Sus scrofa: one gene and its partners. The protein of the gene in region 1 interacts with the protein of each later gene in a pairwise test. Links are inferred from orthologs where the notes say so. Each region holds a gene or a part of one and is shown in the gene's direction. Other genes may lie near its edges.

What was found. The genes of interacting proteins can lie anywhere in the genome.
Region 2: the proteins of CEP63 (region 1) and SNRNP70 interact in binary tests that used the Homo sapiens proteins (3 or more experiments, as listed by UniProt). The link is inferred for Sus scrofa from reciprocal best matches to the Homo sapiens genes CEP63 and SNRNP70.
Region 3: the proteins of CEP63 (region 1) and FAM161A interact in binary tests that used the Homo sapiens proteins (3 or more experiments, as listed by UniProt). The two-hybrid records come from large-scale screens. The link is inferred for Sus scrofa from reciprocal best matches to the Homo sapiens genes CEP63 and FAM161A.

Annotation. Positions count from the first base shown.
Region 1 is NC_010455.5:75,671,990-75,675,616, forward strand, and holds part of CEP63 (centrosomal protein of 63 kDa), read left to right. Parts: intron 1-1,474; coding exon 1,475-1,708; intron 1,709-1,982; coding exon 1,983-2,122; intron 2,123-3,347; coding exon 3,348-3,485; intron 3,486-3,627. UniProt on the Homo sapiens protein: Required for normal spindle assembly.
Region 2 is NC_010448.4:54,298,345-54,301,680, forward strand, and holds part of SNRNP70 (U1 small nuclear ribonucleoprotein 70 kDa), read left to right. Parts: intron 1-1,624; coding exon 1,625-1,730; intron 1,731-3,336. UniProt on the Homo sapiens protein: Component of the spliceosomal U1 snRNP, which is essential for recognition of the pre-mRNA 5' splice-site and the subsequent assembly of the spliceosome. SNRNP70 binds to the loop I region of U1-snRNA.
Region 3 is NC_010445.4:79,959,189-79,962,815, forward strand, and holds part of FAM161A (protein FAM161A), read left to right. Parts: intron 1-1,180; exon of another isoform or gene 1,181-2,262; intron 2,263-3,231; coding exon 3,232-3,458; intron 3,459-3,627. UniProt on the Homo sapiens protein: Involved in ciliogenesis.

The DNA of each region.
Region 1 (3,627 bases):
ACTGTCTTGACCACTGTAGCTTTATGGTAAATCTTGAAGTTAGGTGACATTATTCATCCAACTTTCTTCTTCTCTTCAGTATTATATTGGCTATTCTGAGTCTTTGAATCTTCCTATAAACTTTAGAATCAGTTTGTTAATATCTGTAAAATAACTTGCTGATATTTTGATTGGGATTGTATTGAATCCATAAATAATATGGGAAGAACTGAATCTTGATAGCATTAAGTCTTCCTTTCCATAAACATGGAATATCTCTTCATTTACTTTGTGATTCTTTGATTTCATTTATCAGAGTTTTATGGTTTTTCTCATATAGATCTTGTAAGTATTTTGTTAGATTTAAATATGAGAATTCCTGGGTCCCACATCAGGTTTTGAGTTTAGATCTCCTGGGGTGGAGCACAGGAATCTACATTTTTTTTTTTTTTTTGGCCCCAGTGTACAGTGGCTTAATGAAGGATCACAGCTCCCAGGCCAGAGATCAAACCTGGGCCTCAGTGGTGAAATCATCAAGTCCTAACCACTAGACCATCAAGGAGCTCCCATATTTTATTAGATTTATTCTTAAGTATTTAATTTATTTATTTATTTATTTATTTATTTTTTTGGTCTTTTTAGGGCCACACCCACAGCATATAGAGGTTCCCAGGCTAGGGGTCCAATTGGAACCGTAGCCCCTGGCCTACACCACAGCAGTGCCAGGTCCAAGCTATGTCTGTGACCTACACCACAGCTCATGGCAATGCCAGATCCTTAACCCACTGAGCAAGCCAGGGATTGAACCCGCAACCTCATGGTTCCTAGTTGGATTCATTTCTGCTGTGCCACGATGGGAACTCCACAGTATTTAATTTCTTTAGGTGTTAATGTAAGTAGCAGTGCGTTTTTAATTTAAATTCCACATGTTCATTGTTGGTATATATATATGGGAAAGTGATTGACTTTTATGTATTTGACTTGCATCCTAAAATCTTGCTACAATTGCTTATTAATTCCAGGATTTTTTTTTTTTTAGTGGATTCTTTTCAGATTTTCTGCATAGGTGATCATGTTATCTTTGAACAAAGACGGTTTTGTGTCTTCTTTCATTATATATATATACCTTTTATTTCCTTTTCTTGCCTTATTACATTAACAGGGATATCCATTGTGATCTTGAAAAGGAGTGGTGTGAAGGCACATCCTTGCCTTGCATCTGATCTTAATGGGAAAGTGTTGAGTTTACCGCCATTAAATGTAATGTTAGCTGTATGGTTTCTGTAGATAGTCTTTATCAACTGAGAAAGTTTCTCTCTATTCCTGTTTTTTATCATGAAAATTTTTCTATTATGAATGAGTTATATATTTTTAATGAGTTAATACTTTATGTTTTTATAAAAGTAAAACTCATGTTTACATCATTTTAGTCTTCCTTACTCATAGATTATACATCTTGTCACTTTTTACCAATTGTTAATCTGTGTGTTTCTAGGCTCAGCTTGCCAATCGGAAACAAAAATTAGAGTCTGTAGAGTTGTCTAGCCAGTCGGAAATCCAGCACCTGAGCAGTAAGCTGGAGCGGGCCAACGACACTATCTGTGCCAATGAGTTGGAAATAGAGCGCCTCACCATGAGGGTCAATGACTTGGTTGGAACCAATATGACTATTATGCAAGAGCAGCGGCAAAAAGAAGAAAAATTGAGGGAATCTGACAAACTGCTAGAGGTATGTTTTTAAATTGTGGTATACTATAACTGAGGAAATGTGTGTTTCAGTGTTTTAAGAGAAACTAATTAACCTAGGACTAGGTTCCAAAATCTGTGGTTTCTTCCCTGCTCTAACCAATGAATCAGATACTGATATTAATAACAGGATCGAAATAACAAGCCTTATTAATATTAAGCCTTATTAATTCACAGTCTGACCCACTGGCTTCCTCTTCCTGTGGTACAGAAAAATTGTAATAACATCTGACTTTTTTTCCGAGTATTTTTTGTAGGTTCTACAAGAAGAAAAGAGAGAATTGAAGGCTGCTCTTCAGACTCAAGAAAATTTTATCCGTGAAGCAAGAATACAAAAGGAGAAGCTCCAAGCAAAATTAAAGGCAGCTGACACTCAACACACATTAGAGACCATGAGGTACATTTACTCTTTTCTGGGCCTCACCCATGGCATGGCGGAAATTTGGGGGCCAGGAACTGAACCCATGCCACAGCAGTGACCACACCAGATTCTTAACCTGCTGAGCCACCAGGGAACTCTTATTTGATCTTAAATTATTAATCTTAGCCACAGAGTGATTTAGCATTAAGTGCCATTTTTAATATTGCCTTTTCATAATTTTGTATTTGATTCTATTATGGTTTTTGTTTTTAGTTTTAGTTTTGAGTTAAATTTTTATAGTATTGGAAAATATCGTGTGGTTAGTTTTTTTCTGCCTCCAGTTTGGGTCCCTAACCAAGGAATCTGACGTTTAGAAAGTTAGAAACCCCTGTGTCAACCTGTACCCTTGGTGAAAGTGAAAAGATATGAAAGGAATTGTAATCCATATCCCCTGGGAAGCATCCCTTCCTTGGTAGAATTAGTCTTGATTAGTAGCTGCTTATTTATCATCAGTATCATCAATAAGCCAGTTATGGAGTTCCCGTCGTGGCGCAGTGGTTAACGAATCCGACTAGGAACCATGAGGTTGCGGGTTCGGTCCCTGCCCTTGCTCAGTGGGTTAACGATCCGGCGTTGCCGTGAGCTGTGGTGTAGATTGCAGACGCGGCACGGATCCTGTGTTGCTGCGGCTCTGGCGTAGGCTGGTGGCTACAGCTCCGATTCGAACCCTAGCCTGGGAACTTCCATATGCCGTGGGAGCGGCCCAAGAAATAGCAAAAAAAGACAAAAAAAAAAAAAAAAAAAAAAAAAGCCAGTTATTAAGATAGCCCTTTAAAAAAACTTGTGAAACTAATTTTATTTCTATCTATGAATTGTTGCTATGAGATTTGTGTGGAAAGTAAAAGGAGAAGCTCTACTCCTTTTGCTTGAATCTGGTGCACATTCTGTTGTTACCAGAACTCTCCGTAACCTCAGTTTCTTTGACTGAAGGGGTCAAGGGTCAAAAAGATGGTTTTTGTCATTTTGTCTTTTTCTCTTGAAAAAACAGGCCAAATCCCAAGTGAGAAAGGAGTAAACTGTTGCTGACTTTTTCAAGAAAAATCTTCTCTGCCTCTTTACTCTCCCAGTGTTTATTATTATAAAGCAGGAAACAAACTGAAGAGTTCCCTTACCAAAACAGTTGGGAAATATGAACTGGCTCAATGTTGTTTTTGTTTGTAAAGATACAAGGCCTTAACAGTCCTCCTGGGTCCTCCCATAGGTCACTGGAGGAGGCTCAGGAAGAAAGGGGGTATCCCTCTCAAGGGCAGGGGGACTTGGAGAAAGTGCTCTCCCGGCTGGATTTTACCCACACTAGTGAAGAACTTCTCCAAGCGGAGGTGACTCATCTGGAAGGCAGGTAGATAATTACATACAAATTCAAAAACATCCACATTGTTAAAAATGATTTTTGGCCATTACATTGATAAAGTAAGCTGATATAACAAGTGAAAACAAAAGTTTTTTTCTCTTCTATCCTCAAATGGCCTAACTTCTTATTT
Region 2 (3,336 bases), on another chromosome or scaffold:
ATCGCGGACAGCGCTCCGTCTCCTGGACCCCCAGGGCTGTCTGCTGCAGGCCAGCCTTTGGGCTGAAGCAGGTGGTGGGAGGGAGTGCGGAGCTCGAGGCGGAAGAGGCCTTCCGTGTGCCGGGCGGGGGCGTGTGCCTAGTGTAGCTCGGACTTTGCTGGGAGAAAGGGAAGGTGCACAGGTTCGTAAGGCCTCCCTGGCCTTCTTTTTAAATTCCAACAAGATAGGCCTTTGGCTTTACAGCTCCCAAGCTTGGCGTGAGTCCTCGTGTCCCCCTTTCAAGGCCTCCACGAGGTCTCTTTGGGGTCCGCCACTTCCTCTGCCTGTCTCCAGGTGGTGCAGGAGGTGTGGCCCCTCTCCTTCCCGTGGCTCCCTAGAGGCCCCGGTTCCCCTTCCCTGTAGCTTTAGCTGACCTCGTGGTGGTGGGTGTGGGGTCTGTGCGCGTGCTCAGGTAAGCTTGGGGGCTCCAGGTAAGCGGTCCCGTGTCCCCCCCCCCCCGGGAAGCCCGCCTCCTCGCCAGGCCCCCAGGAGTTGCCGAGCCCCCCCCATCCCGCTCGGTTTGGACACCCGCAAGGCCGGCATCGGTAAATGGCACCTTTTTCTCTTCCTCTGGTTGTTATTTGGGGGGGCGAGGGCTGGGGCGGGGCAGGGTATTGTGGTTGGTTGAGGACAGCCCCCTAGCCAGGGCCGGGGGTGGGCAACAGGGACTCTTCTGGCCTTCCCAACCGCCCCCCAAGAGATAGGCCAGGGAGGGGGCCTCTGCCCACAGCTCCCCTCTGCTCCTCCGCCTCCCGGGAGGCTCAGGCTGGGGCCGGCCTCCCAGGGCCCGTTGCGCTGGAGGTGTTGCGGGAGCAATGGGATGGGGCCGGGGCTGGGCGCAGGCCTTTCAGGTAAGGCAGGACATTTGCAGTAGCACCACACGTCTCCCACATCTCCCTCCACTGCCCCTCAGCCCCACCTGCTGTAGGGGCCCCTCCAGGCCCCCTGGGAGCCCCATAGCCCGCCTTTCTGCTCCCTTCCTCCATCTCCTAAAGATCTCCCTCCCCCTCTGGTTCATTTTCTGTTCTGATGTCTGTTCCCCCCACACTCACCCTCCCCGGAAAAAAAAAAAAAAACCCACAGAAAAAGGAAACCGTTGTGAACTGGGGTGCAGAGGGGCCCAGTTGGGCCTGCTCCCCCAGCATGATGTTTTAGGGTGCATGCCTGGGGTTGTGGGGGAGCCCTCCCCCGCAGCAGAGTCCAGCCTTAAGTTAACCTCTGGTTTCTTTGCAGCGACTTTGGCCACCTTGGCAGGGGGGGCTGCTCTGTCGAATGGGAGTGGGGACTTGGGACGGCCTGGGAGCCGGGGGGCGGGGGGGGGGGGGCGTGGTCTGCCCCCCAGTGGCGACTGGGGGTGATGAGCAGCTGCCGATGGAGCAGTCCCCTCCTTGTTTGGGAAGGGATGGGTCTGGCTGGCAGTTGCCTGGCTGTCTGGTGGGTGTGGGGGTGTGTGTGTGGTGTGTGTGCACGTGTGCGAGTGTGTTGATGGGGACCCGGGGGGCGGGGATGCCGCAGGGCTGGGCCTCAGCCTGACTAGAGGACCCTCTGGGGACTCCTCCCCTCCCCCTCCCCGCGTCTGTTGCAGCCGCTTACAAGCACGCAGACGGCAAGAAGATTGACGGCAGGAGAGTCCTCGTGGACGTGGAGAGGGGCCGAACTGTGAAGGGCTGGCGGCCCCGGCGGCTAGGTGAGCACGTCCTGCTGAGGCTGGGCTTGGGGTCCTGCCCTTGGGGGCTCCTTTCTTAGCTCTTTTCTGCACCTCCTGCCGCGCTCTGTCCTCTCTTTCTCTCCTGGCTGCGCCCATCCTTTCTTCCTCGCGCCGGCTCGTCCTTTGTTCTCAGCGTCATTCTTCTGGTCTGTCTGCTTGTTCTGGGTTACCCAGTAGGAGCAGGAGGACTGACCTAGAGAAAGAAGCCAGTTAGGATCGAATTCTGGCTTTCGAGCTTCGTGGCTGGTGGATTTCCACTCTTCATCCCTCCTTTTCCCTCGTCCTGGAAAGTGGGGCTAACCTCAGGTCCCTGAGCTCAACCGTCAGATACCCAGCTGGGCACGTGGCATTTGTTGGGTCTTGGAGTCACTCTCATCTGTTTATGCTTTCCTCCTCTCTGTTGTTCGATCATTCATTCACTGGTTTAGCAAACGCCTCTTTGGTCACCAGCTGTGTACCAGGCTCCTAGTCAAGAGCAGGACATACACAGATGGCGTCTCTGTCCTCAAAGCCTTCTCCGTCCAGTTCCCTCACTGTCTGTCTCTAATTATCGGTCACCGTCTCAGTCAAGATCAATTGGATAACACGTATGAGAAATTTGTGCTTCCTTGGGCGTTCTCTTGTGGCACAATGGGTTAAGGCTCTGGTGGTGTCACTGCTGTGCCACAGGTTCAGTCCCTGGCTCTGGAACTTGCATGTGCCATAGTCACGTCCTCCCCCAAAAAAGACATTTGTGCTTCCTAAGGTATAAAGGGGCTTTGTTGATAGAGAATCTTAGTGTCTTTTGGAGCCTAGAGGCATGTGATGCCTGTGACCGTCCTCTGACGGCCTCGTGGCCAGACCTTAACTGTCAGGAACCACCTGTGGCAGCTTGCTTCCACGCTGTTCACTCTTTCTGTAAACCAGACTCTTTGGTACCTACACTGGTCCAGTGTGCTGTTTCAAACTCCCTGCTTCGGAGTTCCTGTTGTGGCTGGGCACTAACGAACACCACTGGTATCCATGAGGACACAGGTTGGATCCCTGGCCTCACTCAGTGGGTTGGGGATCCAGCATTTCTGTAAGCTGTGGTGTAGGTCACAGACACAGCTCTGATCTGGCGTTGCTGTGGCTGTGGTGGAGGCCGGCAGCTGCAGCTCTATTACAACCCCTGGCCTGGGAACTTCATATGCTGCAGGTTTGGCCCCAAAAAACAAACAAACAAAAAAAACAACCAAAAAAACAAGTGCCTGCTTTGCACCCAGCCCTGGGTGAGTCTGTGTTTCCAGGTGGGTGAATCAAAATGGCTCAACATTGGGCTGAGGTCCTGCCATCCAGACATGGCTGTTGAGGACGAGCTCCTGTGAGCGGGAGAAGCTGTTGTCAGAGAAAACCATCTTCCTGGGTGGACGTCCCAGGAGGGTCCCTTATGGTCCGTCCTTTGTCCTCCCAGGCCACTGTTCTCGCTTTCGACCTGTGTGCTGAGTAGACCGCACTCTCCTCTGCCGAGTCTCTGAGCCTGGTAGACGGGCTCTTAGCTCACTGTCTGGTTTCTCTGGTTGGAGGAAGTCCTTCCGAGGCTGCTGTCTCCCATCGTGGTAGACCCCTGG
Region 3 (3,627 bases), on another chromosome or scaffold:
TTTTTTGTCTTTTTAGGGCCATACCTATAGCATACGGCAGTTCCCAGGCTAGGGGTCAAATTGGAGCTTTAGCTGCTGGAGTACACAACAGCAATGCCAGATCTGAGCTTTGTCTGCTACCTACACCACAGCCCATGTCAACGCCAGATCCTTAACCCACTGAGCAAGGCCAGGGATTGAACCCACATCCTCATGAATGCTAGTCAGATTCATTTCTGCTGAGCTATGATGGAAACTCCTAAAAACAGTTCCTTGTAGTATCCACCTATTTAAAGATGGATTTTGAAAAATAGTTCCTTTCTTAATGCTCAGTGGAATGTAGCTCTTTTTTTTTTTTTTTTTTTGGTCCTTTTTTTTGGCAGGGGCCGCACCCACGGCATATGGAAGTTCCCAGGCTAGGGGTCAAATCAGAGCCGCAGCTGCTGGCCTATACCACAGCTCACGGCAATGCCAGATCCTTAACCCACTAAGCAAGGCTAGAGTTTGAACCTGTGTCCTCATGGATGCTAGTCAGATTTGTTTCCACTGAGCCACAACGGGAACTCTGAATATAGCTCTTTAGAGCAGCCAATATGTCTTTGACTGCTTCAGTCCTTTGTGAGAGAATGTCTTTCCTTGGTGTTTTTTAAGCTGGACATTCATTCATCCAACAAAAATTTATTGAGTGTCTGCCACTGGCCAGGCACTTTTCCAGTCATTGGGGACACAACTGTGAACAAAGCTGACAAATACTTGTTTTTGTGAGACTTACTTTTTGGTAGGGGGCAGGCATATGATACACAAATAAGCAGAGATATGTAGCATGTCAGTCGGGGGTGAGAGAAATAAAGCAGAAGATGGAGGCTGACAATGAGTCAAGAGGGGGAGGTTGTAATTTTGAGTAGAATGTCAGTGAAGACCTTGCTTGGAAGCTGACATTTGAGTAAAGATCTGAAGGAGTGAGCAGACTTTCCCCTAGTCAGAATGAGGTATTTCTTCTGTGAGTTCTCATGGTGTCTGAAATTGTCATGTGTGGTCACTCATCTGTCTCCTTGCTCAGCAGGGAGCTGCTCGTGGGCAGGAAGCAGTTGTGCTGTCTCATTTTGAGTCTGCTATCGATTATTTATCTACATGTTCTCTCCTAAACTACCTGGAAGCTTCTCAAAGGTGCAGTTTTTATCTGATGTGTATCTTTCAGCAGCTAGCTGAATGCCGTGTGTCCCTCAAAACTGAGTGAGGAAATTAATAGAACACTCATTCCCACAGCCAAGAAGGCTATGGTGAAGAGCAACTGCAGAAACAGCATCAGGTAGCAGACAATTCTCTTAATTGAGTTGTATGACTCTTAAAGCAATTCTCCAATTTATTTGGTAATACATTTCTGCACACTAGTTCTACTAAAAACTTGTTTTCCTGCGTTCGTTTTCTCTAAGTTGTCCCAAGTGATACGACCCTGGCCTCCTGTACTGTTTTTAGCCCATTAAAAAGTTATATCTATAAATATGACTGACTCCTGAATTTTCCTGTTGGGAGACACCCCTCAGATTTATTTTCTAGAGTTTCATCAGACTGAACCTATACTTTTCTATGGCAAATATGCCTTTTTCATTTTGAGTATCCTTCAGGCACTAGGCTAATTTAAAACCATGGTCAGCAGCCTTTTATGCATATAAGTAATTTCAATTGTTTCCCACATGAAAAAATATTAAAATTTTTGTATTTGTATAGAATGTGGGGTTTTACCTCTTTAGTTGTTTGAGCTAAAAGAACTTTGAAAGGTTTGTGAGAGGAAAGAGGGGAAAAGATCAGTCGTACCCTTGCAGGCATGTAAATAGAATAGCCCCCCTCTGCTTTCTTGTTCTCTTATCTACCCCACAGTCCCTGTCATCCATGGCAGCTACTGTTTTTGTAGCCCGGGGGAGTGGCTGTTCTGGAAGTCCCTCCCACCCCTTCCCACACCCTCCTCCTCCCTCCCGAGGTATCCCCCAGTATCCAGGAGGGCATCTTCCTGGCTCCTTGATAAGTCCCTGAGCACTCTGTTCCCTCCATTCCCTGTGCCACTGTCCTCTCTTCCCTGGCACACCCTGGGGCCCGCGCAGCAGGAGCCCAGCTGGGGGAGGTTGCTCGGTTTGCAGCAGGAGAAACTGTGTTCCCCTTCATCTCAGGTAAACCTACACTCAGAAGGAGCCTCTATGAAGGGTGGGTTGGGAGTTCCCGCTGTGGCACAGAGGGATCAGAGGCATCTCTGCAGCACTGGGATGGATCCCTGGTTGGCACAGAGAGGTAAGGATCTGGTCTCACTGCAGCCGTGGAATGGTGGCTTATATCTGATTCCTGGCCCCAGAACTTCCATATGCCTTGGGGTGGTCAAGAAAGAAAAGAGAAAGAGGAGTTCCCGTCGTGGCACAGTGGTTAACAAATCCAACTAGGAACCATGAGGTTTCGGGTTCGATCCCTGGCCTTGCTCAGTGGGTTAAGGATCTGGCATTGCCGTGAGCTGTGGTGTAGGTTGCAGAAGCAGCTCGGATCCCGCGTTGCTGTGGCTCTGGCGTAGGCCAGCGGCTACAGCTCCGATTCGATGCCTATCCTGGGAACCTCCATATGCCACAGGAGCAGCCCTAGAAAAGGCAAAATGACCAAAAAAAAAAAAAAAAAAAAAAAAAGAGAAAGAAAGAAAAAGATTTAGTTTTATACTTTCACAGTGTATGGGTTAGTACATGATCTGGGAATCTAACCATCCTTTATAAAATAAATGAAATAGCATTTATTTTTGGGCAACTTGGTATCTCTCATTCTGAATAAAATGTCATTAAGAGAAAATGTATCTAGCTACAAGTAGCTTATAATCCATTATGTACAGAGTCCACATGTAACATATAACCTGATTAAGGGGACTTTTAAAATTTAAAACAGCCTTGGGGGAGTTCCTGTTGTGGCTCAGTGGGTAACGAACCCAACTAGTATCCAGGAGGATGTGGGTTCCATCCTTGGCCTTGCTCATTGGGTTAAAGATCTGATGTTGCCTTGAGCCATGGTATAGGCTGCAGATAAAGCTCAGATCCTTCATTGCTGTCACTGTGGCATAGGCCAGCAGCTACAGCTCTGATTTGACCCCTTGCCTGGGAACTTTCATATGCTGCAGGTGCAGCCCTAAAAAAAAATAAAAATAAAAAAGCAGCATTGGGAATCAGTGTCAGCTTAATTTGGTTTTCAATTCCAGACATCATATAACATTTTTTTTCCTCCTACCAGGCTGATTTTAACACCGACGTTTCTGGGGTGAGTGAACAAAAACAGGATTTTGTGAACTTTTCTGATATTTACTACTCTAATGAAGAGTATTTCAGGAAACTAGAAGAGCTGAAGGCTGCCCACATGGAAACTATGGCCAAGTTAGAGAAAATGTACCAGAATAAACTAAATTTAAAGGAAGTTCAGCCAGTGGTCACCAGGGAAGAAGCTGCTAGTGTCTCTTCTAAGTAAGTTTGTACATAATGTTATTTGTGGAATGTAAAATAAAATGTGTACCTAAAAGTGCAGAACAAAATTATTTCAGAATATTTTCTCACAAATATTCCCCACATCCCCACTCCCCCTTTCTTGGCTTCTCAGCAGCATATGTAGTTCCTGGGCCAGGGGACAGATCCA